Linked DNA regions of Xenopus tropicalis. The main gene of each other region encodes a partner of the protein of the gene in region 7 in a complex. Links are inferred from orthologs where the notes say so. Each region holds a gene or a part of one and is shown on either strand. Other genes may lie near its edges. The genes, in order: ercc3, taf1c, pfdn2, uxt, taf1b, rrn3 and polr2e.

Evidence for each region.
Region 1: polr2e (region 7) and ercc3 share a complex: the UniProt entries of both Homo sapiens proteins name them as parts of the TBP-based Pol II pre-initiation complex. The link is inferred for Xenopus tropicalis from reciprocal best matches to the Homo sapiens genes POLR2E and ERCC3.
Region 2: polr2e (region 7) and taf1c share a complex: the UniProt entries of both Homo sapiens proteins name them as parts of the pol I pre-initiation complex. The link is inferred for Xenopus tropicalis from reciprocal best matches to the Homo sapiens genes POLR2E and TAF1C.
Region 3: polr2e (region 7) and pfdn2 share a complex: the UniProt entries of both Homo sapiens proteins name them as parts of the PAQosome complex. The link is inferred for Xenopus tropicalis from reciprocal best matches to the Homo sapiens genes POLR2E and PFDN2.
Region 4: polr2e (region 7) and uxt share a complex: the UniProt entries of both Homo sapiens proteins name them as parts of the PAQosome complex. The link is inferred for Xenopus tropicalis from reciprocal best matches to the Homo sapiens genes POLR2E and UXT.
Region 5: polr2e (region 7) and taf1b share a complex: the UniProt entries of both Homo sapiens proteins name them as parts of the pol I pre-initiation complex. The link is inferred for Xenopus tropicalis from reciprocal best matches to the Homo sapiens genes POLR2E and TAF1B.
Region 6: polr2e (region 7) and rrn3 share a complex: the UniProt entries of both Homo sapiens proteins name them as parts of the pol I pre-initiation complex. The link is inferred for Xenopus tropicalis from reciprocal best matches to the Homo sapiens genes POLR2E and RRN3.

Annotation. Positions count from the first base shown.
Region 1 is NC_030685.2:86,618,605-86,622,937, forward strand, and holds the start of ercc3 (general transcription and DNA repair factor IIH helicase subunit XPB), read right to left. Parts: upstream 3,040-4,333; 5' UTR 2,964-3,039; coding exon 2,936-2,963; intron 927-2,935; coding exon 718-926; intron 1-717. UniProt on the Homo sapiens protein: ATP-dependent 3'-5' DNA helicase/translocase. Binds dsDNA rather than ssDNA, unzipping it in a translocase rather than classical helicase activity. Component of the general transcription and DNA repair factor IIH (TFIIH) core complex.
Region 2 is NC_030677.2:215,209,546-215,214,060, forward strand, and holds the start of taf1c (TATA box-binding protein-associated factor RNA polymerase I subunit C), read left to right. Parts: upstream 1-1,481; 5' UTR 1,482-1,588; exon of another isoform or gene 1,589-1,623; intron 1,624-1,670; exon of another isoform or gene 1,671-1,765; intron 1,766-3,241; 5' UTR 3,242-3,253; coding exon 3,254-3,382; intron 3,383-3,575; coding exon 3,576-3,669; intron 3,670-4,515. UniProt on the Homo sapiens protein: Component of the transcription factor SL1/TIF-IB complex, which is involved in the assembly of the PIC (pre-initiation complex) during RNA polymerase I-dependent transcription.
Region 3 is NC_030684.2:143,079,986-143,084,476, reverse strand, and holds the start of pfdn2 (prefoldin subunit 2), read left to right. Parts: upstream 1-1,531; 5' UTR 1,532-1,534; coding exon 1,535-1,573; intron 1,574-3,190; coding exon 3,191-3,279; intron 3,280-3,441; coding exon 3,442-3,565; intron 3,566-4,491. UniProt on the Homo sapiens protein: Binds specifically to cytosolic chaperonin (c-CPN) and transfers target proteins to it. Binds to nascent polypeptide chain and promotes folding in an environment in which there are many competing pathways for nonnative proteins.
Region 4 is NC_030684.2:1,333,944-1,338,427, forward strand, and holds the start of uxt (protein UXT), read left to right. Parts: upstream 1-1,537; 5' UTR 1,538-1,579; coding exon 1,580-1,650; intron 1,651-3,446; coding exon 3,447-3,528; intron 3,529-4,295; coding exon 4,296-4,363; intron 4,364-4,484. Other genes in the region: tmem111 (ER membrane protein complex subunit 3), read right to left, coding at 1,295-1,449. UniProt on the Homo sapiens protein: Involved in gene transcription regulation. Acts in concert with the corepressor URI1 to regulate androgen receptor AR-mediated transcription. Together with URI1, associates with chromatin to the NKX3-1 promoter region.
Region 5 is NC_030681.2:138,017,262-138,021,017, forward strand, and holds part of taf1b (TATA box-binding protein-associated factor RNA polymerase I subunit B), read left to right. Parts: intron 1-925; coding exon 926-1,025; intron 1,026-3,756. UniProt on the Homo sapiens protein: Component of RNA polymerase I core factor complex that acts as a GTF2B/TFIIB-like factor and plays a key role in multiple steps during transcription initiation such as pre-initiation complex (PIC) assembly and postpolymerase recruitment events in polymerase I (Pol I) transcription.
Region 6 is NC_030685.2:34,348,079-34,352,619, reverse strand, and holds the start of rrn3 (RNA polymerase I-specific transcription initiation factor RRN3), read left to right. Parts: upstream 1-1,716; 5' UTR 1,717-2,076; exon of another isoform or gene 2,077-2,092; intron 2,093-4,360; 5' UTR 4,361-4,367; coding exon 4,368-4,463; intron 4,464-4,541. UniProt on the Homo sapiens protein: Required for efficient transcription initiation by RNA polymerase I (Pol I). Required for the formation of the competent pre-initiation complex (PIC).
Region 7 is NC_030677.2:100,196,633-100,200,844, forward strand, and holds the start of polr2e (DNA-directed RNA polymerases I, II, and III subunit RPABC1), read right to left. Parts: upstream 2,900-4,212; 5' UTR 2,890-2,899; coding exon 2,833-2,889; intron 2,623-2,832; coding exon 2,448-2,622; intron 2,350-2,447; coding exon 2,234-2,349; intron 619-2,233; coding exon 538-618; intron 1-537. UniProt on the Homo sapiens protein: DNA-dependent RNA polymerase catalyzes the transcription of DNA into RNA using the four ribonucleoside triphosphates as substrates.

The DNA.
Region 1 (4,333 bases), on a different chromosome or scaffold from region 7:
AAAAGGTGACAGTTACGTTCTCCGTGCCGACCTGGCGGAGGAAGGAAGCTGAGACAGACACAGGCCTCCTGCAGATCCTACAAGAGTAATCACAAGAGCTTACAATCTAAGGATTAACCCTCAAGGGGATTATCAGGAGCCAAGGGCCCTGTTACAGAGTGTTGAAACATTAAGTAGCTGAGTGGATTAAGGGATTAGCACAATATACGTAAACGAGGAGGTAAATCCAAGGGGTAATTTGGGCTGAACCCCGCGCCAACTAATGGTACAGCTTTCCCTTTAGCCCAACCACCCCCGAGTCAGGAGAGTTCACAGATATTTTAGATTAAATTAAATCCAATGTTTTTCCATCAGCGACTGATTTACTTCTACATTTTTCCGGCTTTCAAGTGACCCGACAGCCGAAAACTATTGCCCTGAAGTTTACAATTGTATTAATATTGTAACTTTATACTTTTTTCTTTAATCCGGGCCCTCTCCTCTTCATATTCCAGTCTTTCATTTAAACCACCGCCTGGTTGCTAGGGTAAACAAGACCCTAGCAACAAGGTAGCAGCTGAAATGCCAAACTGGAGAGCTACTTAACGACAAAAAATAAAAACCAATAAAAAATTGGCTCAGATTAATGTCTACGTCATATTAACTCAGTTAATTCAAAGGTAAACAAGCCCTTTAATGGAATCCGCTAGCCGCCTCAGAGTAACATATGGAACGTACCACCCACAGGGGGCGAGAGGAATGATCCATTTTCAGAGGCATCTGCAGGCGATAGTCTTTGGCTCCGTACTCATCCTGCTTTGTGCCGGCTTCGTCCACTTGCTTTCCCGCGGCAGAAGGAACGGCTTCCTGGTATTCGCCCCCGGGCACCTCCTCTTCCTCTTCATCCTCTTCCTCATAGTGACGCCGCTTGAACTTCTTTTTGTCTCCTGGGAGGGAAATCAGAGTAGGTCAGTGGCGCCTATTGGGGGTATTATCCTGCTGCGCCTATTGGGGGTATAACCCTGAGGCGCCTATTGGGGGTATAACCCTGAGGTACCTATTGGGGGGTATAACCCTGAGGCACCTATTGGGGGGTATAACCCTGAGGCACCTATTGGGGGTATAACCCTGAGGCACCTATTGGGGGTATAACCCTGAGGTACCTATTGGGGGGTATAACCCTGAGGCGCCTATTGGGGGTATAACCCTGAGGTACCTATTGGGGGTATAACCCTGAGGTACCTATTGGGGGGTATAACCCTGAGGTACCTATTGGGGGGTATAACCCTGAGGCGCCTATTGGGGGTATAACCCTGAGGTACCTATTGGGGGTATAACCCTGAGGCACCTATTGGGGGTATAACCCTGAGGTACCTATTGGGGGTATAACCCTGAGGCGCCTATTGGGGGTATAACCCTGAGGTACCTATTGGGGGTATAACCCTGAGGCACCTATTGGGGGTATAACCCTGAGGTACCTATTGGGGGGTATAACCCTGAGGCGCCTATTGGGGGTATAACCCTGAGGTACCTATTGGGGGTATAACCCTGAGGCACCTATTGGGGGGTATAACCCTGAGGCACCTATTGGGGGTATAACCCTGAGGCACCTATTGGGGGTATAACCCTGAGGTACCTATTGGGGGGTATAACCCTGAGGCGCCTATTGGGGGTATAACCCTGAGGTACCTATTGGGGGTATAACCCTGAGGTACCTATTGGGGGGTATAACCCTGAGGCGCCTATTGGGGGTATAACCCTGAGGCACCTATTGGGGGTATAACCCTGAGGCACCTATTGGGGGTATAACCCTGAGGCACCTATTGGGGGTATAACCCTGAGGGGCCCTATTGGGGGGTATAACCCTGAGGTCACCTATTGGGGGTATAACCCTGAGGCACCTATTGGGGGTATAACCCTGAGGCACCTATTGGGGGTATAACCCTGAGGCACCTATTGGGGGTATAACCCTGAGGCACCTATTGGGGGTATAACCCTGAGGCACCTATTGGGGGTATAACCCTGAGGCACCTATTGGGGGTATAACCCTGAGGCACCTATTGGGGGGTATAACCCTGAGGCACCTATTGGGGGTATAACCCTGAGGCACCTATTGGGGGGTATAACCCTGAGGCACCTATTGGGGGTATAACCCTGAGGCCAATTGGGGGTATAACCCTGAGGCACCTATTGGGGGTATAACCCTGAGGCACCTATTGGGGGTATAACCCCTGAGGCGCCTATTGGGGGTATAACCCTGAGGCAGCCTATTGGGGGGTATAACCCTGAGGTACCTATTGGGGGTATAACCCTGAGGCACCTATTGGGGGTATAACCCTGAGGCACCTATTGGGGTATAACCCTGAGGCCTATTGGGGTATAACCCTGAGGTACTATTGGGGGTATAACCCTGAGGCACCTATTGGGGGTATAACCCTGAGGTACCTATTGGGGGTATAACCCTGAGGCACCTATTGGGGGTATAACCCTGAGGTACCTATTGGGGGTATAACCCTGAGGCACCTATTGGGGGTATAACCCTGAGGCACCTATTGGGGTATAACCCTGAGGCACCTATTGGGGGGTAATAACCCTGAGGTACCTATTGGGGGTATAACCCTGAGGCACCTATTGGGGGGTATAACCCTGAGGCACCTATTGGGGGGTATAACCCTGAGGCACCTATTGGGGGGTATAACCCTGAGGCACCTATTGGGGGTATAACCCTGAGGCACCTATTGGGGGTATAACCCTGAGGCACCTATTGGGGGTATAACCCTGAGGTACCTATTGGGGGTATAACCCTGAGGCACCTATTGGGGGTATAACCCAAGGCAAATGCACGGAATTACGTGAAACTCCCAGAAGGCCCCTGCGTTATTAACCCCCTCCCTCCCCTGAGTTTAGCGCTACCACACGGCACAAAGCCCCACAGACTATGGGACACTGTCCCTACCTCTGTCCGCCTTATCCCTCTTGCCCATCGCAGGTTCCCTGGCAGCAACACCTTCCGGCTGCTTCTTCTGCTGCTTCTTCCCCACTTCCGGTGCGCACTACGGAAACCGGCAAGAGACATTTGCTACTTGTTGCTCTGGAAAATCTCAATGCTGCCACCTGGCGGCCCCTTTGTGTAAAGCACCCACTATAGAAATCGCTAGGATCGTTCTCGCTGGGGAAAAAACCCACAGAGATGATGGGCAGGGGGGAGAAAAGGGCGGGGGAGTCATGACAGAATCTCAATTGGAGGGATTGTTCACCTTTGAGTTAACGTTTAGTATAACATAGAGAGTAATATCCTGAGACAATTTGCAATTGGTCTTCATTTTTTTGTATTATTCCTGGTTTTGTAAATATTTCCCTTTTTGTGCAGCAGCTCTCCAGTTTCAGCAGTTATCTGGTTGCTAGGGTCTAAATTACCCGAGCGACCAGGAATTGGTTCGAATGAGAGACTGATATGTTTGTAGGAGAGGGACCTAAACAGAAAGAAAAGTAATAACAATAACAATAACAATAAAACTGGAGCCTCACAGAGCAATAGGGTTTGGCTGCCGGGGTCAGTGACCCCCATTTGACAATTAAAGGGGAAAAGAGTCAGAAGAAAGCGGCAGATATTAAAAACTATAACAAATAAATAATGAAGACCAATTGAAAAGTTTCTTAGAATAGGCCATTCTATAACATACTAAAGGTTCACTGAAAGGTGTGGGAATAATAGACATGGAAATAGCTCCTGCCAGGGCCGGACAGGGGCTGCTGGGACACCGGGAAAATACCCTGTGGGCCCCTGGACATGGTGGGCCCCCGGACATGGTGGGCCCCATCGGCCCAGACCCGACCCTGTTGCAGCTTCCCCTGGCCGTTGGTGTCCCCCCCTGATGGGTTTCACATACGCAAGCTCGGGGGAGGACGTCGGGCGGGGGGCCCTGTGAGGGGATAGGGGTGTGCGGTGGGGGCCCCAGCAGGGGACGCAGCCAGAAGAGGCCCCTTGTGGGGTGCGGGCCCCCCGGGGGGTAGCCTCGGTGGGCCCTGCACCCCCCAGTCCAACCCTGGCTCCTGCTACTACTACTATGACTATAATGTATGTCCCCTAATTACAAATACATGGGGGACAGAGGCTACGGAAGAGCCCAGAACACACTGCAGCGAATGGACTAACAAAATCAGAAACTGGCTCGCTGCTGGGTCATCACAGTTCTAGGACTCATGAACCTACCTCTATACCAGGGATCCCCAACCTTTCTTACTCGGGAACCACAGTCAAAGTAAAAAGACTTGGAGAGCAACACAAGCACCATAAATGTTCATGGAGGAGCCAAATAAGGGCTGTGATTGGCTATTAGGGGCCTCTATGCAC
Region 2 (4,515 bases), about 120 Mb from region 7:
GGGGGATAGTTAGGGAATGCGGGGATAGGAGGGGATAGTTAGGGAATGGGGGGATAGTTAGGGAATGGGGGGATAGTGAGGGAATGGGGGGGATAGTGAGGGAATGGGGGGATAGTTAGGGAATGGGGGGATAGGGGGGGATAGTTAGGGAATGGGGGGATAGGGGGGGATAGTTAGGGAATGGGGGGATAGGAGGGGGATAGTTAGGGAATGGGGGGATAGGGGGGGATAGTTAGGGAATGGGGGGGGTAGTTAGGGAATGGCGGGATAGGGGGGATAGTTAGGGAATGGGGGGATAGGAGGGGATAGTTAGGGAATGGGGGGATAGGGGGGGATAGTTAGGGAATGGGGGATGGGGGGGATAGTTAGGGAATGGGGGGATAGGAGGGGATAGTTAGGGAATGGGGGGATAGTTAGGGAATGGGGGGATAGTTAGGGAATGGGGGGATAGTGAGGGAATGGGGGGATAGTGAGGGAATGGGGGATAGTTAGGGAATGGGGGATAGGGGGGATAGTTAGGGAATGGGGGGATAGGGGGGATAGTTAGGGAATGGGGGGATAGGGGGGATAGTTAGGGAATGGGGGATAGGAGGGGGATAGTTAGGGAATGGGGGGATAGGGGGGGATAGTTAGGGAATGGGGGATGGGGGGGGTAGTTAGGGAATGGCGGGATAGGGGGGGATAGTTAGGGAATGGGGGGATAGGAGGGGGATAGTTAGGGAATGGGGGGATAGGGGGGGATAGTTAGGGAATGGGGGGATGGGGGGGGTAGTTAGGGAATGGCGGGATAGGGGGGATAGTTAGGGAATGGGGGGATGGGGGGGATAGTTAGGGAATGGGGGGATAGGAGGGGGATAGTTAGGGAATGGGGGGATAGGGGGGATAGTTAGGGAATGGGGGGATGGGGGGGTAGTTAGGGAATGGCGGGATAGGGGGGGATAGTTAGGGAATGGGGGGATAGGAGGGGGATAGTTAGGGAATGGGGGGATAGTTAGGGAATGGGGGGGTAGTTAGGGAATGGCGGGATAGGGGGGATAGTTAGGGAATGGGGGGATGGGGGGATAGTTAGGGAATGGGGGGATAGGGGGGGATAGTTAGGGGATGGGGGGGATAGGGGGGGATAGTTAGGGAATGGGGGATGGGGGGGGATAGTTAGGGAATTGGGGGGTAGGGGGGGGATAGTTAGGGAATGGGGGGATAGGAGGGGGATAGTCAGGGAATGGGGGGATAGGGGGGGATAGTTAGGGAATGGGGGGATAGTTAGGGAATGGCAGGAGGGGAATAGTTGATTTTTATCTGGTGTAAAATTCCGACACAACAGACAGGAGCCAAAAGCCCAGCTCTACGCCCAAATCACACCTTGAAGGCGTCTCTTGGGAGGGAACTGAAGGAAACTTCCGAGCCGCCACCTTGGAACTCAGAACTGCACCCAGCGAGTAGCAATATGGCCGCTATGCGCTGAGACACGCCCATTGTTCTGTGATTGGCTACATGGTCATGTGACTGAGCGTTCTTACTCTTCATTGGTGCGTAACCTGAAATAACACTTTATGACGGGCCGGGAGAGAGGTACAAGCAAAAACTTCAGGTTCGGATTGTGTGGGGTGTGAGGAGAAGGGAAGTGTGAGTGTGAGTGTGAGTGTGAGTGTCCGCTCGGTAATGGGTGTTTGTCTGTGGGAGACTGTAGCGCTGTGGGAGACTGTAGCGCTGTGGGAGGCGAGTGTGAGCTCTGAGGGTGCAACTACACGTGTTTGTGGGAGATACAGTGAGTAATGTGGGGCGGTCTCACCGTGATTCCCGGGGGTGTCCCTGAGTGTATGTATTACTCGCTCCTGTACTCATACCGCCGGGGGTTACATTTGGCTCTGGGCCTCCTGTGTGTGCAGCTGTGTGATCTAGTGTGTTTGTACCCCCTACTGTAAATGATAAGGATATTAGCAGTCACTGAGGGGTTCTGTGCCCCCCATATAAAGGCACAAGGCTGCAGGCTGAGTTATACAGGGAACTCTGAGTATCACTCATGTATTATAAGGGATAATGTACCCCCTACTGTAAATGATAAGGATATTAGCAGTCACTGAGGGGTTCTGTGCCCCCCATATAAAGGCACAAGGCTGCAGGCTGAGTTATACAGGGAACTCTGAGTATCACTCATGTATTATAAGGGATAATGTACCCCCTACTGTAAATGATAAGGATATTAGCAGTCACTGAGGGGTTCTGTGCCCCCCATATAAAGGCACAAGGCTGCAGGCTGAGTTATACAGGGAACTCTGAGTATCACTCATGTATTATAAGGGATAATGTACCCCCTACTGTAAATGATAAGGATATTAGCAGTCACTGAGGGGTTCTGTGCCCCCCCATATAAAGGCACAAGGCTGCAGGCTGAGTTATACAGGGAACTCTGAGTATCACTCATGTATTATAAGGGATAATGTACCCCCTACTGTAAATGATAAGGATATTAGCAGTCACTGAGGGGTTCTGTGCCCCCCATATAAAGGCACAAGGCTGCAGGCTGAGTTATACAGGGAACTCTGAGTATCACTCATGTATTATAAGGGATAATGTACCCCCTACTGTAAATGATAAGGATATTAGCAGTCACTGAGGGGTTCTGTGCCCCCCATATAAAGGCACAAGGCTGCAGGCTGAGTTATACAGGGAACTCTGAGTATCACTCATGTATTATAAGGGATAATGTACCCCCTACTGTAAATGATAAGGATATTAGCAGTCACTGAGGGGTTCTGTGCCCCCCATATAAAGGCACAAGGCTGCAGGCTGAGTTATACAGGGAACTCTGAGTATCACTCATGTATTATAAGGGATAATGTACCCCCTACTGTAAATGATAAGGATATTAGCAGTCACTGAGGGGTTCTGTGCCCCCCATATAAAGGCACAAGGCTGCAGGCTGAGTTATACAGGGAACTCTGAGTATCACTCATGTATTATAAGGGATAATGTACCCCCTACTGTAAATGATAAGGATATTAGCAGTCACTGAGGGGTTCTGTGCCCCCCATATAAAGGCACAAGGCTGCAGGCTGAGTTATACAGGGAACTCTGAGTATCACTCATGTATTATAAGGGATACTGTACCCCCTACTGTAAATGATAAGGATATTAGAAATCATTTGTTATGAGCCGAGGGGATCCAGCCTGAAGGCCAATTATAGTGAGTACATTTAGCTTATGTAACTGCCTTATAATCTTTCTTGTTCTTGCCTTGTAGATGACTTCTTAGATGGAGTTTCCAGGCTCTTTGTTCCCCTCATTTTACAGCGAGGGGCCCTGTGCCAGGGAGGCCCCCACTTCCCACTCTGTGTTTGGCCTGGGGGAACACAGCAAAGTCCAGCACAGTAACAGCGCGCAGGTAAGGTTCAGTAGAGACATTAGTTTATTGGGGTTTAGATGGCAGCTCTGGGGATAAGTGTCAGAAATGTTACAAAGGAAAATAAGAAAGGGGATCACATGGGGATGCTTTAGTGGGGGGGGGGGGGGCAGTGCTGGGGAAGGGGGTGGTTATAGTGGTTGCACCCACAGACACCTTGTCATTGTTTTCACAGGATGGTTACAAGTTCATTCCCTTGTACAGCAGATCTGCAGAACGTTGGAGCCCAACCAGCCCGGCACCCATCCCACTGCTGCCTCCTAACCCTGGTAACTCATATGGGAAGTCTCTCAGCCACCTCCTCCGCTTTGGGCCTGGGGGGACTGACCCATAAACACGTCGGTGCCATTAGTACAGTTTGGGCCTAGGGGGGACTGACCCATAAACACGTCACTGCCATTAGTACAGTTTGGGCCTAGGGGGGACCGACCCATAAACACGTCACTGCCATTAGTACAGTTTGGGCCTAGGGGGGACTGACCCATAAACACGTCGGTGCCATTAGTACAGTTTGGGCCAAGGGGGGACTGACCCATAAACACGTCACTGCCATTAGTACAGTTTGGGCCTAGGGGGGACCGACCCATAAACACGTCACTGCCATTAGTACAGTTTGGGCCTAGGGGGGACCGACCCATAAACACGTCGGTGCCATTAGTACAGTTTGGGCCTAGGGGGGACTGACCCATAAACACGTCACTGCCATTAGTACAGTTTGGGCCTAGGGGGGACTGACCCATAAACACGTCGGTGCCATTAGTACAGTTTGGGCCTAGGGGGGACTGACCCATAAACACGTCACTGCCATTAGTACAGTTTGGGCCTAGGGGGGACTGACCCATAAACACGTCGGTGCCATTAGTACAGTTTGGGCCTAGGGGGGGCCGACCCATAAACACGTCGGTGCCATTAGTACAGTTTGGGCCTAGGGGGGACTGACCCATAAACACGTCACTGCCATTAGTACAGTTTGGGCCTAGGGGGGACTGACCCATAAACACGTCGGTGCCATTAGTACAGTTTGGGCCTAGGGGGGGACTGACCCATAAACACGTCGGTGCCATTAGTACAGTTTGGGCCTAGGGGGGACTGACCCATAAACACGTCACTGCCAT
Region 3 (4,491 bases), on a different chromosome or scaffold from region 7:
GAATAGATAGGTAATTGATATAAAGTAACAGTAACAATAAAACGGGTCAGTTCTCCTGTTGCTAGGGCTCAAATTACCTTAGCAACCAGGGAGTGGATTGAATGAGAGACTGGTATATGAATAGGGGAGGGGCTGAATAGAAAGATAAGGAATAAAAAGTAACAATAAAACTGGAGCCTCACAGAGCAATAGGGTTTGGCTGCCGGGGTCAGTTATACTGTTGCTAGGGCTCAAATTACCTTAGCAACCAGGGAGTGATTTGAATGAGAGGCTGGCATATGAATAGGGGAGGGGCTGAATAGAAAGATAAGGAATAAAAAGTAACAATAACAATAAACTGGAGCCTCACAGAGCAATAGGGTTTGGCTGCCAGGGTCAGTTATACTGTTGCTAGGGCTCAAATTACCTTAGCAACCAGGGAGTGATTTGAATGAGAGGCGGGTATATGAATAGGGGAGGGGCTGAATAGAGAGATAAGGAATAAAAAGTAACAATAACAATAAAACTGGAGCCTCACAGAGCAATAGGGTTTGGCTGCCGGGGTCAGTTATACTGTTGCTAGGGCTCAAATTACCTTAGCAACCAGGGAGTGATTTGAATGAGAGGCGGGTATATAAATAGGGGAGGGGCTGAATAGAAAGATAAGGAATAAAAAGTAACAATAAAACTGGAGCCTCAAAGAGCAATAGGGTTTGGCTGCCGGGGTCAGTTATACTGTTGCTAGGGCTCAAATTACCTTAGCAACCAGGGAGTGATTTGAATGAGAGGCGGGTATATAAATAGGGGAGGGGCTGAATAGAAAGATAAGGAATAAAAAGTAACAATAACAATAAAACTGGAGCCTCACAGAGCAATAGGGTTTGGCTGCCGGGGTCAGTGACCCCCATTTGAAAGCTGCAAAGAGGCAGAAGAAGAATTTATTTAAAAACTATAAAGAAATAAATGGGAAACAGGATTGGGAGATTTAGTCCAAGACACTAAGTGCTAAGACTTTACTTTCCCTTTAATCTCTTTACCAAGATAGGGAATGAGCTGGGAACCCCAAGATGAACCCCATTTGACTTGTTATTCTCTAGTGTAGTTATATATGTTTATTTAACCTGCATCTGGGCAGAGAAACCCCAGAAATGGTGGCTGACCAATAACAGGCGCACTAGGGAGTAGTCACATGACAACAGGAGGCTAACGTCAGCTCCCCGGGCTTTGGCTGAGCATTCTGGGATCTGTAGTTTAGAGACTTCCGGACACCCCATTAGCCAATCGCATTACGCAGCCCCCCCGCACGGGCTATAAAGAAGCGGCGATATATCTGACACACACACTTTCCCAGGAGGCCTCAGCTGTCACAATGTGTTGACGTCACTTACTACGGCCCGACTATGACGCGGCTTATGCGCCCCACCAACCAGGCGCTTCCAGTCATGCTTTTCCCTCTCTCAACATGGCGCCGCCAGGACTTCCCGGGCGGAAGTGGCGTCGGAACGCATAGACTTCCGCTGCGCGGAGAAGGTGCGCAGTGCGAGAGAGAAGCGTGATGGCGTCTAATGCAGCGAAGCAGGTGGCGGCCGAGCAGGTACTGGGCATGGTGGGCATAATGGCTGCTGGGGGGTCTGCCCGGCCGGTACCCCCCCCCCCCAACCGGCCGTTTAAAGGGCAACTAAGCCCAAAGCCCTTTTTTCATTATGGCCATTCATTCCCTTATATAGACACATGTGCTATTATAAGCTCAGTGGGAACAGGCTTCCTTGGGCATTTACTCAGATTCATTCCCTATTGGGATCCCTGATAGCCTTCCCACAGCAGCCCAGGAGCAGCCGGCTCTTCTGCTTCCTAGAAACTGTTGCTAGCCAGCTTGGTAGCAGTGTTGCTATGGTACTGAGCTGTTAGTGATATCCCATAATCCCTCAGTTGGAAGGGGGTTCAACAATGGGACTGGGGCACCTTAGTGTTTTATTATTACAGAGAAAAGGGAATCATTTAACCATTAAATAAACCCAATAGGGCTGTTCTGCCCCAATAAGGGGTAATTATATCTTAGTTGGGATCAAGTACAGGTACTGTTTTATTATTACAGAGAAAAGGGAATCATTTAACCATTAAATAAACCCAATAGGGCTGTTCTGCCCCAATAAGGGGTAATTATATCTTAGTTGGGATCAAGTACAGGTACTGTTTTATTATTACAGAGAAAAGGGAATCATTTAACCATGAAATAAACCCAATAGGGCTGTTCTGCCCCCAATAAGGGGTAATTATATCTTAGTTGGGATCAAGTACAGGTACTGTTTTATTATTACAGAGAAAAGGGAATCATTTAACCATTAAATAAACCCAATAGGGCTGTTCTGCCCCAATAAGGGGTAATTATATCTTAGTTGGGATCAAGTACAGGTACTGTTTTATTATTACAGAGAAAAGGGAATCATTTAACCATGAAATAAACCCAATAGGGCTGTTCTGCCCCAATAAGGGGTAATTATATCTTAGTTGGGATCAAGTACAGGTACTGTTTTATTATTACAGAGAAAAGGGAATCATTTAACCATTAAATAAACCCAATAGGGCTGTTCTGCCCCCAATAAGGGGTAATTATATCTTAGTTGGGATCAAGTACAGGTACTGTTTTATTATTACAGAGAAAAGGGAATCATTTAACCATTAAATAAACCCAATAGGGCTGTTCTGCCCCCAATAAGGGGTAATTATATCTAAGTTGGGATCAAGTACAGGTACTGTTTTATTATTACAGAGAAAAGGGAATTGTTTAACCATTAAATAAACCCAATAGGGCTGTTCTGCCCCAATAAGGGGTAATTATATCTTAGTTGGGATCAAGTACAGGTACTGTTTTATTATTACAGAGAAAAGGGAATCATTTAACCATGAAATAAACCCAATAGGGCTGTTCTGCCCCCAATAAGGGGTAATTATATCTTAGTTGGGATCAAGTACAGGTACTGTTTTATTATTACAGAGAAAAGGGAAATAACTTTTTAACGTGATTAAAAAAGAAGTCTATGGAACATTATGGATAAAGGGTTTCTGGATATTGGACCCCATAGGCCCCTGTAAGAAGATGAGCCAATGCTGGGCTGATCTGTTTGCCCACATTGTTTAAGAGTTGCCATTAAAGGGAAAGTTAAGCCAAATACCCTTGTTTAATATGTACGTTCTGTGTTTGTTGCTACAGGTGGTGGCTGGATTTAATCGCCTGCGCCAGGAGCAGCGAGGTCTCGCGTCCAAGGCAGCGGAACTGGAGATGGAGCTTAACGAACACACGTGAGTCTCATTAGCAAACAGGTCGTTCAGCAATGAAGAATCCTTCAATGTGATTCTCCCCGAGGGTCGTTATTCCTCTCTGTTGCACGCTACATTTGTTCTGTAGTCGGAACCAGTGCAGATCTCCCTAACTAACTGACAGTCGTCTCCCTCGCTCCGCAGGTTGGTTATCGACACCCTGAAGGAAGTGGAGCAGGGCAGGAAGTGTTTCCGGATGGTCGGGGGGGTACTGGTGGAACGCACCGTGAAGGAAGTGCTTCCGGCTTTGGAGAATAATAAAGAGCAGGTAAGGCTCTGCCTTGTGGGCACCTAATTAAAGGGCATATTAACCTTTATTGGGGGCAGAACAGCCCTATTGGGTTTATTTAATGGTTAAATGATTCCCTTTTCTCTGTAATAATAAAACAGTACCTGTACTTGATCCCAACTAAGATATAATTACCCCTTATTGGGGCAGAACAGTCCTATTGGGTTTATTTAATGGTTAAATGATTCCCTTTTCTCTGTAATAATAAAACAGTACCTGTACTTGATCCCAACTAAGATATAATTACCCCTTATTGGGGGCAGAACAGCCCTATTGGGTTTATTTCATGGTTAAATGATTCCCTTTTCTCTGTAATAATAAAACAGTACCTGTACTTGATCCCAACTAAGATATAATTACCCCTTATTGGGGCAGAACAGCCCTATTGGGTTTAATGGTTAAATGATTCCCTTTTCTCTGTAATAATAAAACAGTACCTGTACTTGATCCCAACTAAGATATAATTACCCCTTATTGGGGCAGAACAGCCCTATTGGGTTTATTTCATGGTTAAATGATTCCCTTTTCTCTGTAATAATAAAACAGTACCTGTACTTGATCCCAACTAAGATATAATTACCCCTTATTGGGGCAGAACAGCCCTATTGGGTTTATTTCATGGTTAAATGATTCCCTTTTCTCTGTAATAATAAAACAGTACCTGTACTTGATCCCAACTAAGATATAATTACCCCTTATTGGGGGCAGAACAGCCCTATTGGGTTTATTTAATGGTTAAATGATTCCCTTTTCTCTGTAATAATAAAACAGTACCTGTACTTGATCCCAACTAAGATATAATTACCCCTTATTGGGGCAGAACAGCCCTAAGATATAATTACCCCTTATCAAAGCATTCAAGACCAAGTAAATGTTAGTTGGGGAGGGCGGAGCTTGACACTGGC
Region 4 (4,484 bases), on a different chromosome or scaffold from region 7:
ATGGGGGGGGTCAGTATATGGGGGGGGGGGTCAAGTATCCGGGGGGGGGGGGTCAGTATCCGGGGGGGGGGTCAGTATCCAGGGGGGGGGGGTCAGTACAGGGAGCCTATCGCTGAGGCAGTATATGGGGGGGGCGGTCAGTATATGGGGGGGGGTCAGTATCCGGGGGGGGGGGTCAATATATGGGGGGAGGGTCAGTATATGGGGGGGTCCAGTATCCGGGGGGGTGGGGGGTCAGTATCCGGGGGGGTCAGTATATGGGGGGGGGTTCAGTATATGGGGGGGTCAGTATATGGGGGCGGGGTCAGTATATGGGGGGGGGTCAGGGGGGGGGTCAGTATAATGGGGGGTCAGTAATTTTATGGGGGGGTCAGTATATGGGGGGGTTCAGTATATGGGGGGGTTCAGTATATGGGGGGGGGGGTCAGTATAATGGGGGGGTCAGTATCATGGGGGGGGGTCAGTATATGGGGGGGTCAGTATTATGGGGGGCGGTCAGTATATGGGGGGGGGGTCAGTAATCCGGGGCTGGTGGGCCAGTATATGGGGGAGGAGGGGTCAGTATATGGGGGGGGGCATGTTAGACGGGCAGGAGGGCGATAGTCGTGTGAGTGGGGAGATGACACAGGACTGTATCATGAAGGACCGGAGCCCCACAACTGCTACCATTCTCTCGGTCCGTCTTACAACGGGATCCGAAAGGGCTCAGGCGGGCCGGAGCAACTGAGGGGGGTCCTAGTATATGGGGGGGAGTTCATATCATGGGTGGGGGTCAGTATATGGGGGTCGACGTCCGGTCTCCAGTATATGGGGTGGTCAGTATCCGGGCGGGCTATCCTGGCGGAGAGGGGTCAGTATATGGGGGGGGTCCTCAGTATCCGGGGAGTCAGTATATGGGGGGGTGGCTAGTATTTATGGGGGGTCAGTATATGGGGGGGGCAGTTATATGGGGGTCAGTATATGGGGGGGTCAGTATATGGGGGGTCGATATGGGGGGTCGTATTATGGGGGGGTCAGTATATGGGGGGGGCAGTATATGGGGGGGGGGGTCCAGTTATATGGGGGGGGTCAGTATTATGGGGGCGGGTCAGTATTATGGGGGGGGGTCAGTATATGGGGGGTCAGTATATGGGGGGTCAGATCCGGGGGGTCAGTTATACTGGGCGGTCAGTATATGGGGGGTCAGTATATGGGGGGAGCGGTCAGTATATGGGGGGGTCAGTATATGGGGTGGGTCAGTATATGGGGGTCAGTATATGGGGGGGTCAGTTATATGGGGATGTCCAGTACAGACCTATCGCTGAGGGGCTCCAGTTCGGGGCGCTCTCCCCCTGCAGCAGGCGGGGTAAATCGGGCGGAAGAGAGGCGGTTGAGGAAGGTGATACAGACGATGGGTAAGACGACCCACAGGCGGATACTGGAGTCCAACAGCAACTCGGGGCTCCCCATGTTCCTCAGCCAGTCAGCCAGCGGAAACGGAAATCCCCAGGGTTAGGAAGGAGTTTCCGCCCAAAACAAAAATGGTGGAAGCGGAAGTGCGGGGCTGTGACGCAGGAGCCGCGGGGGGTGCCGGGAAGGGATGGCGGGGCTGGGGCACAAGGTGCAGCGATACGAGGCGTTTGTGTGGGAAACTCTCCGTGGGGATCTGCGGTAAGTCCTGTGGCCTGTCCGTGGCACTTACCCCTCCCCACCCTTATATACCCCCCCTCTTATATTACCCCCCCTCCCTCTTATATACCCCCCCCTCTATATACCCCCCCTCCCCTCTTATATACCCCTAACCCCCTCATATACCCCTCTTATATACCCCCCTCATATACCCCTCTTATATACCCCCCTCTTATACCCCTCCTCATATACCCCCCCCCTCTTATACCCCCTCCCCTCTTATATACCCCCCTCTTATATACCCCTAACCCCCCTCATATACCCCTCTATATACCCCTAACCCCCCTCATATACCCCTCTTATATACCCCTAACCCCCTATTACCCCTCTTATATACCCCCCTCATATACCCCTCTTATATACCCCCCTCTTATTACCTCCTCCTCTATATACCCCCTCTATTATACCCCTAACCCCCCTCAATACCCCTTCTTATATTACCCCTAACCCCCCCTCATATTACCCCTTTCTTATATACCCCCTAAACCCCTCATATACCCCTCTTATATACCCCCCTCTTATACCCTCCTCATATACCCCCCCCTCTTATACCCCTCCGCATTATACCCCCTTATATACCCCCTCCCCTCTTATTATACCCCCTCCTCATATACCCCTTCTTATATACCCCCTTATAACCCCTCTTCATATACCCCCCCTCTTATACCCCCCCTCACTATCATATTACCCCTCCTTATATACCCCTCCTCATATACCCCCCTTATACCCCTCCTCATATACAACCCCCCCTCTTATTACCCCCCCTCTTATACCCCCCCTCATATCATAACCCCTCTATTACCCCCCCTCTTATACCCCCCTCATATACCCCCCCTCTTATACCCCTAAACCCCTCTCATATACCCCCCTTATATTACCCCCTCAATACCCCCCCTCTTATACCCCTAACCCCCCTCATATACCCCCCCTTATATACCCCTCCCTCATATACCCCCCCTCTTATATACCCCTAACTCCCCCCCATACCTCTCTTATACCCCCCCCATACCCCTCTTATACCCCCTCTTTATACCCCTAACCCCCCTCATATACCCCCCTTATATACCCCCTCATATACCCCCCCCTTATATACCCCCCTCATACCCCTCATATAACCCCCTTATACCCCCTCCCCTCATATACCCCCTCATACCCCTCTTATACCCCCCTCATACTGCTAATTCCCCCTCATACCCCTCTTATACCCCTAACTCCCCCCCATACCCTTATACCCCCCTCATATCCCTCTTATACCCCCTCATATTCCTAACCCCCCTCATACTCCTCCTTATACCCCTCTTATATCCCCTCATACCTAACCCCCCCTCATACTCCCCCTCATACCCCTAACTCCCCTCATTCTCCCCCTTATACCCTCCTCATACCCCTCTTATATCCCCTCATACCTAACCCCCCCCTCATACTCCCCCTCATACTCCCCCTCATACCCCTAACTCCCCTCATTCTCCCCCTTATACCCTCCTCATACCCCTCTTATATCCCCTCATACCCCTAACCCCTAGTCTATGGTATTTAATAACCTGTAGCCTCAACTTCCATCCACACATCCAAACTGCTGCCTGGTTGCTAGGGTAACTAAACCTTAGTAACCAAATAGCAGTGACAATTCCAAGAGAAACTTAAATAGAAAAGAATAAATGCCCCTGAGCCGACTGTGTTATGCACAGGGCATTAAGGGAACCAGTGGGGGGCATCTTAGGGTGATTGTACCCAGCATGTGTGATACCCTCACAGTAATTGCCCCCGTCTCGCTGCAGGAAGGTGCTAGAGAGCCGCGATGCCGTGTATGAGAAGATCAGCCAATACCTGCAGCTCAAAAACGTGATCGAGAGGTTACAGGTAAGTACTGGCCCTGCCCCCCATAGGGTAAGTACTGGCCCTGCCCCCCCATAGGGGTATGTACTGGCCCTGCCCCCCCATAGGGGTATGTACTGGCCCTGCCCCCCCATAGGGGTATGTACTGGCCCTGCCCCCCCATAGGGGTATGTGCTGGCCCTGACCCCCCATAGGGTATGTGCTGGCCCTGCCCCCCCCATAGGGTAAGTACTGGCCCTGCCCCCCATAAGGTAAGTACTGGCCCTGCCCCCCCCATAGGGTAAGTACTTGCCCTGCCGCCCCATAGGGTAAGTACTTGCCCTGCCCCCCCATAGGGGTATGTGCTGGCCCTGCCCCCCCCCCCCCCATAGGGTAAGTACTTGCCCTGCCCCCCCATAGGGGTATGTGCTGGCCCTGCCCCCCCCCCCCCCCCATAGGGTAAGTAGTGGCCCTGCCGCCCCAGTGTGTGACACTAATGAGTATAAATACACACACAGGCTGCTGTATATGCTGCACCACATGGATCTACCATTAGAGGCGTGTCCCTGCTTGTGGGCTGAGCCCTGCCCCATTTCAGTGATGGTGAAGAGGAAGGATAATGCCTAGTGGAGGATAAGGGGTACTGCAACAGTGAAGTGATATTGTTCCAGAGGGCCAATAATGTGTTTGACCCCATGTTCTGCTCCAGTGATACCTTATTGCCCTTAGTGTGCCAGTCTGTTGCCCAGGAAATTCTTATTGGGTGGGAATAGGGGCATTTGTGGTGCCAATGATCTCTGCTGTTCCCCCAGGAGCTGCCCCCCGAGACGCTGCAGACACAGGTGGACCTGGGCTGTAACTTCTTTGTGAATGCAGAAGTGTAAGTGATGTTTCCCTCTACCCGCGGGCACCTCGTATAACTGGGCACCTTGTGTCACTGGGTATAACCGGGGACTCTGTGTAACGGGAGTATAACCGGGCACCTTGTTTAACTGGGTATA
Region 5 (3,756 bases), on a different chromosome or scaffold from region 7:
AATAGAAAAAGCCATCCCCTTTTGAGAGGCAAGTGAATATTAGAGTTAAAGGAACAGTAACACATAAATATTTGATTACCTTATACACAAAACATCTCTAATGATAGGGATACCCTTTCCCTCTGGTCTTTTATAAAATGCTTCATTTAGAATTTTAGTTATAAACTGCTCCATAGCAGCACGGCGAAAAGGCAACGGGTGCTTGAATTCCTGACCCAGAAGTTGTCTTCGCATGGGTGGACCTTCGGCACGTAAGCTTTTTATCAGCACCTGTAGTTCAAATTTATGTTTCTATTTCTTCGGACAGTTTAGTGGTATGTTTGTGATCATAAATTTAATTGCAGGAGCTGATAAAAAGCTTAAGTGCCGAAGGTCCTCCGATGCGAGCGGTGGATGTAAATCACCCTCCTATGTCACAGGCATGAGTGCTTGCTCATTATGCACATGCATGTGCCCCAATATGGCTGCCCGCTCCAGGGGCTCCCTCACGGTGCAGGTAGCACAGCGCTGGCAGTTTTTTGAAAAAAACAAACAAACTATTGTTTCCCCTATTTGGAGTGCGGGCTGTATTAGCCTGCACCTCTGGTGGGGGAAACAATAGGAGGTGATCGGTGCCCTTTAACTGTGGTCAGGGAAAGGGGTGGGGGCCAGTAGAGGTTAAACTTTAACTTTATCTTCTTTAATTATGACTAACATTTTCTATGTAGATTATTTGACCTATTGACATAATTAAGGTGACCATAAAAATCACTTGGAGGGCCACATATGGCCCTTCGGGATTTCCAGTTGGACATCCCTTAGGTACATTATCTCTGTCTCAAATGCTATCATCCCCTAACAGCCCAGCAGTCGGAAGCCTCAGCCTCTTTACCAAGTTTTATTCGTTTTAGGACACAAATATAAATTGTTCTTTTATGCTTTGTAGATTTGTTTTCGAAAAACACATTCCGTACATAAATGCACATCAATATCTGCCGGAAGAAATAAAAGTATACGGACATGATGTCAGAATATTCCGGATGCAGGTAGGTCTCCATGCTGCTACAAAACCTGGATCTAACTTCTCAAACCAATTTTTTAAAGATCTTTGCATTGCTGTTTTATTAAAAGGAAACTGTAAAGCAAATCACATGTTGAAGAGGGTTTGGATGCATTCATAAACACATGTATTTAAGCTTCTTCATGCTAGATGTATGTAGGTTCTGATGTAACAATCTGCTGTTCTAACTTCTACCACTTACAAGGTTACAAGGATACAAGGTTCCCACTGTGTTTTGCAGTACATGTATAGGACCTATTATCCAGAATGCTTGGGACCTGGGGTTTTCTGGATAAAGCATCTTTCTGTAATTTCTGTACCTTAAACATTAAACTAACATTAAATAAAGCCAATAGGATTGATGTGCCACCAATATAAATTCATGCAGCTTAGTGCCATCAGATACAAGGTACTGATTTATTATTACAGAGAAAAAGGAAATGATTTAAAAAAAAAAAAAAAAAATTGGATTATTTCCTTAAAATAGACCCTATGGGAGATGGCCTTCCTGTAATTTGGAGCTTTTGTATTATAAATTTCCAGGTAAGGGATCCCATGCCTGTAACACTACAAGGGGAATGGTATTGAGGGTCCTTCTTGAATGAGCATTTGGAGTCTGCTGAAAATCATTTAACATTAAATAAACCCAATAGGACTGTTCTGCCCCCAATAAGGGGTAATTATATCTTAGTTGGGATCAAGTACAGGTACTGTTTTATTATTACAGAGAAAAGGGAATCATTTAACCATGAAATAAACCCAATAGGGCTGTTCTGCCCCCAATAAGGGGTAATTATATCTTAGTTGGGATCTAGTACAGGTACTGTTTTATTATTACAGAGAAAAGGGAATCATTTAACCATGAAATAAACCCAATAGGGCTGTTCTGCCCCCAATAAGGGGTAATTATATCTTAGTTGGGATCAAGTACAGGTACTGTTTTATTATTACAGAGAAAAGGGAATCATTTAACCATTAAATAAACCCAATAGGACTGTTCTGCCCCCAATAAGGGGTAATTATATCTTAGTTGGGCTCAAGTACAAAGTACTGTTTTATTATTACAGAGGAAAGAGAAATTATTTTTAAAAAGTTTAATTATTTGATTTGTTGGAGATAGTCTTCCCATAATTCAGAGCTCTTTTGGATAATGGGTTTCAGAATAACTGAATGTTCTAGTTTCTGAGCAATTACATCCACATTTTTAACAGTGATTCTCTCCCCTTTACATGCAATGATGTTCATTCAGTATGGTGGTAAAAAACAAGCTTATTGATAAAGAGGCCCCTATTTCAGGCAGCTTTGCTGACAGAAACACAAGTCAGATGATCTATTGGCCTTCTGCCCTTGGGCCAACAATGTTCATTTTTTTTTGCCTCATAAAAGTGGAATAGTTCATGCGAGAATGAAAATCCCTATGACATTTATTGCCTGCATTGAGAACTGCATGAAATGTCTAAAATAGGTGTATAAATATAATGTATACATTATAGATAGACACATAATGTTTCTATCTATCTATATGCATTTTGCTGATCCTTTCTGTTAAGCCATATGGGTCTGGTGTAAGTGTGGAATTTGTCTGTACATGTCAAGTACTTTACTGGTTCATCCTCTTCAGCTACCACTAGAGGGCATCAAACGTCTGTAAAATTTCTCCTAAAACCTGCTGTGAGTAGGCACTGATAAGTGTGAGGGAATGCAGTCAAATATTTAACGTATTTTATTTCATTTTTATGGATTCCAAGGTCTAAATTTATGAAAGAGATTGATTTGTGTCCCCTTTTATGTACTAAATATTGAGGAGCAAGGAGTGAGCGGGCTCTGTGCAGTTGTACCCTCTGGTTGTTGAGAAGTAGTAGGGACTCAGTGGTGTTGTTGCAGTTGGTCGTTTAGACGTATCTATGGGTAGGTGTATTTGTGCATTACTTTTACAGGTGCTGAGCTACACTGCACATAGCGATGCGCATCTCCTGGTTGTACAGTCCAGCACTAATTTAGTTCCATAATGCTGTACTGTATGCTATCCCATAGGCAAAGCAGTATCAGTATACTTCTACATACTCATCTCTGAACACTAACTTCATTTTCTAAGCAAAGCAAAACCAGAAGTCTTTTCATCTGCTGGCTGAACTGAACAGCAGTAGCCTTGTTTCAGGTTCTTTATAGTAAAAGTGTGGAAACTGCTAATATCTTGAAAAACAGAACAAAAAAAATTGCAAAGGTACTCAGAAGAGCAACTCTACATTACTTTGAGGGTTAAGATCCCTTTGAAGTACAGCAATGCAATTGACTAGACAAATTATTTCTTATTATTAAAGGACATGTAAAGCCCCACAAAAATATGTAATCAGTAAATAGCCTCTTTGAAACCTTAAATACCCCCTCTGGTTGCTTAAAGGTTAATAGTTAGGCTTTAGTGTCCCCTCAATCACTTAGGATTCCTTCTCCTACTCTAACCCACTTAGCTGCCTCCCTTAGGAATTAAGTTTGGCTGTTGGCTACTGAGCATGCTCAGTTCTTCTCTGCATGCTGGGCCTGATAGTGGGTTTGGGGAAATATTTCCATACTTCTTGTGCTCAAGACTCTCATATTAGGTTCAACATAATAGTCTGCAAGCAGTGAAATTATTGTAATGCAAAGGATATTTGTGTGTGTACATAGTATATTTACAGAAACAAAGCAGGCTGTTCTTACAGTGTGTTCTGATGATATTA
Region 6 (4,541 bases), on a different chromosome or scaffold from region 7:
AACCTCCAACAGCTTGAGTACCCTGTATCCCACCTCAGTAAGAGTCAGCGCCCTTTCCATTATCATGTTACAGATCCCCCTCTGTCTATACACAACCCACATTCTGGTCTCTGTCTCTCATATCCTTTCCCTACTCATTCTCATGTTCTGTTATTGTCTTTCTCACTCTCTTTCCTGGGACTTTTTCTCACAGCGGATGGAAGTGCAGTGTCTGTGATTTGTGGGAGAATCTGGGGCTCAATATGACAGGTGGCGGCGCCATCCTCTATGGAACACGTTACTGTGACGGCAGCGGAGGGAATAACCACGAGTTACAGCATTGCCAAGAAACAGGCTTCTCCTTAGCAGTGAAACTGGGCACCATCATGCCCAATGAAGCCGGTCAGTTCTGCACCAAAGAAATGCTGTCCTTACTCTTACTCTGTCCTGTTTGTAGCATTCTGTTAGTGGGCATGTATGGGTGGAAATGTTGCACAGCTACACATCACAGGCTGCAGAGAGTTGTATTTTATCAGTGAATTCTGGGTGATTGAGGGAGTGTATATATGCCTGTTCCCAGTAATACAGTAACACAGGATTTGTCTGTTTAAATAGGAAAGTGATTGTTTTGGGCACAGTGCAAGGCGAGTACAATTAGGCATCAGGATGTAGGTACAGTGTGATAAGCAATACTTAATAAGGTCCCTAATGGGCATTGTACAAGATCTGTGCCATACATTTTATTTGGGCGCTGTGTTAAATGGTACTTATTTTCTGTCTCATCAGAGCCATGCTTGGACATGGCCTGTTATCTGGGAATACTCAAAGAGAGCTTTACAGAAAGATAGTGACACATCTCCAGAACATGAGGTAACATTTATTTCCTCATGTGCTAAATATGGGAATTTATAAGCAAAATAACTGCCTTTCCACTTTGCCACACCTTTGTATATATCAGTGAGCTGTAGATCAGGTGGCTTGTCATACATTACATTAACATTTATTTATAAAGTGCCAACATATTCCGCAGCGCTGTACAATAAGTGGGTTACATACATTGGACATACAGAGTAACATATAAAGCAATCAATAACCGATACAAGAGGTGAAGAGGGCCCTGCCCAAAAGAGCTTACAATCATACAGCAGATAGGTTTCGGCAGAACCCAAAATCACAATGTATTGGGTGCAATATGGTTACAAGGCTCTCCATTGGATATTAAGCATTGTGTTATGTACCCTGATGTGTCTGTGCATTGTTTCCCAACCTACATATCTTGAAGTTTCAGAATTTTGGATAACTGTACTCTTTCCTTGCTGTATACATTATATCATTGAGTACAGGGCATGTCACCTGGGGCTCTCCATATGCCCTGTCCCATTTACTCTCTCTTCTGTATAGGAAGTGCTTGCTTTTGTGCAAGGTCTTTAGGATGGGATCGCTCTGAGAATGTTTAAAGGAGACATATCCTATAAAAATTATGAATGTACTAGGGAATTATACTCCTCTAGATATAGAAGGATTGTGCTTAAAAATGTTGTGTTTCTGGCAGGGACCGTTAGGACACGCCCACTCTTCATTTCACATTGGATGGAGAAGTGATAGGATCTATAGGGAGCTCCAATAAAGGGGCCATTGTTACAGATAGGGTTAATGTTTAGCCCAAAGTGAAACCAGCACCGGATATTATTCATAATTGCCTACAAAATTAGGGTTTTTCCCCATTTATCCAATATGTCTCCTTTAAAGAAGATGGAAAGGCTAAAAAGTTGCAATCCAATTTTATCTTCACATTCTCTTTATTGGGCTGCAGCTATTAGGCAACCAGAATAAGTGTTTTTACTTTGTCCCTCCCTTTAGCACGCTGAACCTAATAGAAGCTATGAGTTGTGTCACTACCACAGGTACAGTCCTTCCTCATTCCTACCACCACCCCCACTAGCACTATCATACCGCTGCAGCGCGTCACACTCACTAAGCGTGACTTCCTGTCTCATCTCGCGAGATTGTGACGATCCTCTCGGCGAGCAGGCGTGCAGCAAGCGTGGAGCTGGGCTTATAAACAGCGATCCGGGAGTGCGTTCTGTTCTGTCAAAAGTGGGTCTGTTGGGCGGTATGTTGTGATTTATCAGAAAACATCCATCCGGTACCTCTAATATTTTTGGAAGGGGGTGGCGCTGATTAAAACACGCCAGTTTTAGCTGTAATGCGAGATTTTATTAGTGGGCTCTGTTTAGAAAGTACATCATTTTCTTGATTATCAGTGGTTTGTTGTGTAATGTCACATAACAATAATGTCAGTATCCCACTTCCTCCCTCCCCCGTGTTGTTGCCACTGGATCTACATGCACCGCTGGATTAAGTTCCGCCCCCCCTGCACCTGACTGAACAGCTGTGCCCCTCCCCCCCAATATTCTGCTCAGCCACACCCCCAAAACTTGCTCACAGAAAATTTTACAGAGGTATAAGTAAATTAAAAATAGGCCCTGTCATTTCAAGCACACAGATGCCCAAATCGCCCCCGCACAGGGCCAATAACTAGTGTCTTAGGGCTCTGGCACACAGGGAGATTAGTCGCCCGCGACAAAACTCCCTGTTCGCGGGCGACTAATCTCCCCGAGTTGCAATCACCTGCCATCCCGCCGGCGAACATGTAAGTTGGCGGTAGGATGGCACACGCGGCGGCACGATTTCGGGAAATCGACGAAGTTGCCTCGCAAGGCTTTTTCGGCGATTTCCTGAAATCGCGCCACCGCGTGTGCCATCCCACCGGCGACTTACATTGTCGCCGGTGGGATGGCAACTGGCGGCAACTCGGGGAGATTAGTCGCCCGCGAACAGGGAGTTTTGTCGCGGGCGACTAATCTCCCTGTGTGCCAGAGCCCTTATAGCATTTTACAGCAGCCCCTCAGATTACAAGTCCAGGCCTGGAGAAGTCTCTGTGGCCCTGGAAGAAACACAACGAAGGGAAGGGATATGGGTAGGGAAAGAACTATAAGGAAATAGAGAACATGTGCAGGGGGAAGGAGTGTGAGGGAATAGGGATGTGAGGAAATTTGGGAGAGCAGGCACAGGGTAAGACAGTGGTGGCCAATGTCGATCGTGGTCCACCAGTTGATCCCCCGTGGATTCCTGGTAGACTGCGATCAAGTCTAGGATGCGAAAGTGCTGTGTGAATGCGTACGTACATTCCCTGGTCATCGGTCGATCGCGACTGAAAAAAGTCTGGCCACCCCTGGGGTAAGGGAATAAGGGGAAAAAAGGGGAATGGTGATAGGAATATAACTTCTATAACTATAGACTTCCCATGCCATCTGCATAGAGAAGAATGATTATGCGCCCCATACCACCCACACAGAAAGTAATAGAATGGAAAAAAAGGCATAACTATAATAACCCCTAACACTCATACCTGTAGGGCCTCCCTTGCCATTGTCACCCACGGGATCTCTCATTCTCTTCAAAACGTGCACATTGTAAATGTGTGAGACTTTAATGGTGGATATACACTGAGTAAGGGTTGGTAGTACAGCATTCCCCCATATGCTTCAGACCTGTAGATTTTGATAAATAATGTACCTTTACCTCCTATAATTTATATAGTGAATAATGTGCCCCCTATTGTAAAATATTAGGCTACAGGTATGGGACCTATTATTCAGAATGCTTGGGACCTAGGCTTTTCCAGATAAGGGGTCTTTTCATAATTTGGATCTCCATACTTTGTCTGCTAAAAAAGTTTTTAAACATTAAATAAACTCAATAGGATTGTGTTGCCTACAGTAAAGGATTATTAATATTGTAGCTGGCATCTAGTACAAGGTACTATCTTATTACAGAAAAAAAGAAAATTGTTTTTAAAAGTTTTAATTATTTGATTAAAATGGAGTTGGAGATGGCCTTCAAATAATTTTATGGGTCTTCTGGAGAACAGATCCCATACCTGTATTGTAAGTCATCAAGGTGTTCTTTGACCATCTGAAACCACAAGGCCAAAGGGTGATTGCTTTTGTACAGGTCATGAAACTCTAAAGTAACTTCTAATATACTCATATTTTATAAGAGGGGGTGCATTATTTAATTTAATAAACAAGTTTCAGCAAGTCATCTGATAGAAATGTAAATTAAGTAATATAAAGTTTAATGTAATGTTTGCTGAAATGTATATTAAGTAATATAAACATATTTGAAAAAGTTGAAAGTTGAAAGTTTAGCCATTTTCCAGAATTTTGTGTAAATGGGTACATAAAATAACATGTTTTGTAAAACAGCATATATTAGTTCAGGTTTTACAATGTAACATATCAGCAAAACAGCAAAACAATATCTGTGCCTACACATAATGTGTATTTTTCATTTTTATTATATGTGCTGTCTGCAGATTAAAGATGTTGACAGAAAGTGATGAATTTCTCAGCTCTCCACCCAAAAAAACTGTCAGATTTGGTGGAAAAGTGACAGAAATCTTGTTCAAGTATTCAAAGGTAATTATCCATCATAGTGTAAAGCTAATGTTATATTAGATACGAAACTTGCATAAATAATAAAACTGATAGCATAGG
Region 7 (4,212 bases):
ATTATCAACTATAACTATTCTTTTACAGTGTGCAAAGGAAACACAAAAAAAAAAAAAAATTAAAATGTAGTGGGCTTTTATTATATTCTGAATTACACATCCTGCCTATCATTTGCTATTAGAGGTACCGAACTACAAATTCATCCAGCAATCGAGCTACAAATGCAACATATTGGGAGTTTTAGTTTACAAAGTTATGGTCAAATGTAAAATCCCTGAGCTATCAGAAATAAACAGTACAGAACTTAATAAAGATGAACTTCTAAACTATATGGACTCACAAAAAAAAAAAAAAAAAGATTTTTGTGGGAAGGTGATACTGTTTATTGGTTAATTAATTTTAAACGGTATCATGTTACCACCTAAAATCTTTTTTCTGAAACTATGGCTAACACATTACAATACTCTGCTGCTACTCATCAAGAAGGCACCTAACGTTCCCATGTGCACCCACCTATTACATGTCAGTGTGTATGGATAACAGAAACGTTTCAGTATGAGTGAAAGTGTTTCTTCCCCTTCTGTATTAAAACTCACCTCATGCTCTGTGATATTAATCAGAAGCTCCTGTTGTAGAAACTGCTCCAGAATGTATTTGGGTGCCATATCCACCAGGGACTGCAAAATAAAGAGATTGCTATAAAGATAGGAAAGCTGGCAGAAGCTTTGGATAGTATTTATTATGGACTAACACCATGTAAACATTTTACTACATTAACTGATAATTTAATAATTAAAATATTTTTTCAGATTTTGGCAGTATTTATCCTATGCATAGGAAACAAGGTTTCAACTGGATTGAAGTCAAAAGGGCTCACTTACAAGAAGTAGGTGCAGAATTGCCAATTTTTTTTTTTAACGTCTTTATTATGATTTAGCATGAAAAGGTTACATTCATATTTATATGCAATGACCGGTCCATCCTCTTTCCTATATCATAGGAGAGAAGGTTTATAGTTGTCCTTTACCTTTCCATCAGGCAAATAAAGTGATTCGATCCTGTTTTTAGAAAACGTGGTAGTAGTATTAAGTAATAATCATACAATATTAACTAGTAACTAATTAACTAGTAAACGTCTGCCTTTATCTTACTTGCCAGAGAACATAAAACGGTAACCTGCTTATACTTGGATAATATGACTATGTTAGTTCATCAGCCAGAATTGCAAATTTTAAACAGCATACGCATATGACCTGCACCTACTTGCACCCAAGCCCTGTGCTTAACATCTGGTTTGACCTGGTGTTATGCAGACCCAGGCTGAGATTCAAAATAGGCCCTAATATTTCAAATACACAAAGGCCCAAACAGCAACTGTCTGTGGGATCTTACAGCAGTTCCTCTGGCATTTGCCAGAATCCACAGACTGGCAGTCTGGGCCTGGTGTTAAAGGAACAGTAACACTAAAAAATAAAAATGTTTTAAAATAATTAAAATATAATTTACTGTTGCCCTGCACTAGTAAAAGTTGCGTGTTTGCTTCAGAAAGACTACTATAGTTAATAGAAATAGCTGCTGTGTAGCCATGGGGGCAGCCATTTAAATTGAAAAAAGGAGAAAAGGCACAGGTTACATAAGAAGATACCAGATAAACTGTGTAGAATACAATGGGAATCTGCTACTTAATTGTTATCTGCTTAGCAACCTGTGCCTTTTCTCTTTTTTTCAATTTAAATGGCTGCCCCCGTGGCTACACAGTAGGGTATTTATATAAACTGCAGTAGTGTTTATGAAGAAAACACACAACTTTTACCAGTGCAAAACAATAGTATATAATATATTAATTATTTTTATACACTTTCATTTTTTGGTGTTACTGTTCCTTTAAGCACTGGGCCTCCTTATGCACTCATAGCCAATCAAGGTTGTGGAAGCTGAACTGCACATGACTGACAACCATGTAAGTGTATGCCTATGCTGCAGGAAGGATGCTGCACTGAGGGGTAATATGGCAAATTGCACTTTTTTGCATTTAGCAGATGAGATCTATAGTTTTAATAATAGGTGTATTCCTTTTTAAAGAAGGGTCTTTCAAACTTATCCCATTTTTAAGATAAAAAATAAAGCTTAGGTGTCTTTTGCCAGCAAAACATACAAATCACATAGAAAATTAATTCATCGGAGTAGTATATATTTTATCTGTACATTTTCATTTATAAAAGCTTTGGATCAGAACTGCAGTTCACCCAGTAAGTATGCTTAGGTAAGGTGCACGTTAGCTGGCAGAATTACCTGTTTGGCAGATGGGGTCATTCCCTGCTGCACCACGATTAAAGCCCTCGTAATGTTCTCCTCCTGCATTCTCTGGCAATACATCTTAATTGTCTTAATGCCAACTTTGGGTTCCTCTACAAATAAGACAGGCAAACATGTAATAATCCTTTGTCTGCATGTATAGACCCTTCAGCCAGTCACTGTTTTTTTTTTTTTTTTTGCACCTACTCACCTGGGAAGAAAACAAACATTTGGTCTGTGGGATCATCATTATGAGCTACTAATACAGTCAGGTCAGTTCGGCGAGGGCGCCCTTCGCTAGGTTTGTCCCCAAACTGGGCTTTAAACTCATCCAGTGTCTGATCCAATTCATCCTGCGTTACTAAGTAACCACGGTCATGGCACAGCTGGCGAAGGAAAGAAGGATGCGAGTGAAACAGGTAATATGGAGACAGATGAGGTAAAGCACAAAAGTAAAAGTGACAGGGACGAAGAGTACAGTAGAAGTATATGCTGGAAGCAGAAATGAATGGTACCCAACACAACGTAGCTGAGTTCGAATTACTGAAAAAGGCGAAGATTATAACACAAAAAGATTTAAAACTCAATTTTCTCACCTGCATAATAGTTTTGCGGATCTTCCACAACCGGTAAGTTTCCTCCTCATCGTCCATGTTGTCTCCACGAGACCAAACAGGAAGAAGAGCGCGATTTCCGGAGCTCGGCTCCCTGGGCTGCAGGAGGACCCTACATGGGCTGCCCTCACTCTGCCTGATGGCTACAAGCGAATACTGCTGTGGGGTATCTCTGAGGACGTGTTATTAGCTTAAAACTGCACTGTGGAAAAGGAATAAAGTTGCGCATAATATCGTTTCCCTTTTTTGCTGAAGGTGGCTATTCGGGTTGTAGAATTTGTTCAAGTTTCGGTATCACGCTAAGGAAGACCAAAGAAATTGCATCGTCGCAGTTGAAGGGCTCGGCCATGTTTGTGGTAGGCAAGAAGCCGGCGTACATGTTCTTGTAAAGATCACCATTTTGTTGGTGGGTATTACTACCGTTCCTATATTCATCGTCTTCGTGTATTTATATTGCGTCACATAGTTACATGGCGCTCTGCATTAATATTATAAGTGGCTAAGTTTAAGAGTTAACCCTCTAAAGGTATAGGGATTAGTTATTGGCAAAAGAGGGTGTGGTAATGTGCCAATGATAGGCTAACTACAAGAATTACGTAAACTAAATATTCTTTAGAAATACTTGTTAAACTGTTTTAAGGCGAGCAGTGTTTTATTAAGATTTTTTTTTATTTTTGCCCCAAGCCCCATTTTGATATATAATATTATCTTTATGTATGTATATATATTTTTATTTATATAGCACTACTTATGTACCCAGCGCTGTACAGTAGGACAATAAATGAATAGAATAAACGGGACTATTACAATAAAATAAATACAAAGTATGATAGTAAATACAAGGTAAGGATACAATACGTTAAATTAATACTGTCACGGGAAAAACGTATTTTTTAAAAACATATCTGTTAATAGAGCGTCTCCAGCAGAATCCTGCATTGAAATCCATTTTTCAAAAACACAAACTGATTTTTTTTATATTTAATTTTGAAATTTCACGTTGGGCTAGCCATATTCTTCATTTCCCAGGGTGCCACAGTCATGTGACCTGTGCTCTGAACTCACACTTTACTGCTGAGCTGCAAGTTGGAGTGATATGAACCCCCTCCCAGCAGCCAATCGGCAGAATAATGGGAAGGTAGCAAGATAGCAGCTCCCAGTAGATCTCAGAATTGCACTCAATAGTAAGAAATCCAATTCCAGCTTGTGACTCCTTCAGTTATATGGAAGTAGGAGAAACAATAGGTTATCTGAAAGCAGTTCCAATGTGTAGCGCTGGCTCCTTCTGAAAGCTCAGACTTGCACAATGCTGCTTATAGACCAATATTACAGCTAAAAAAATACATTTGTTGGTTCAAGAAT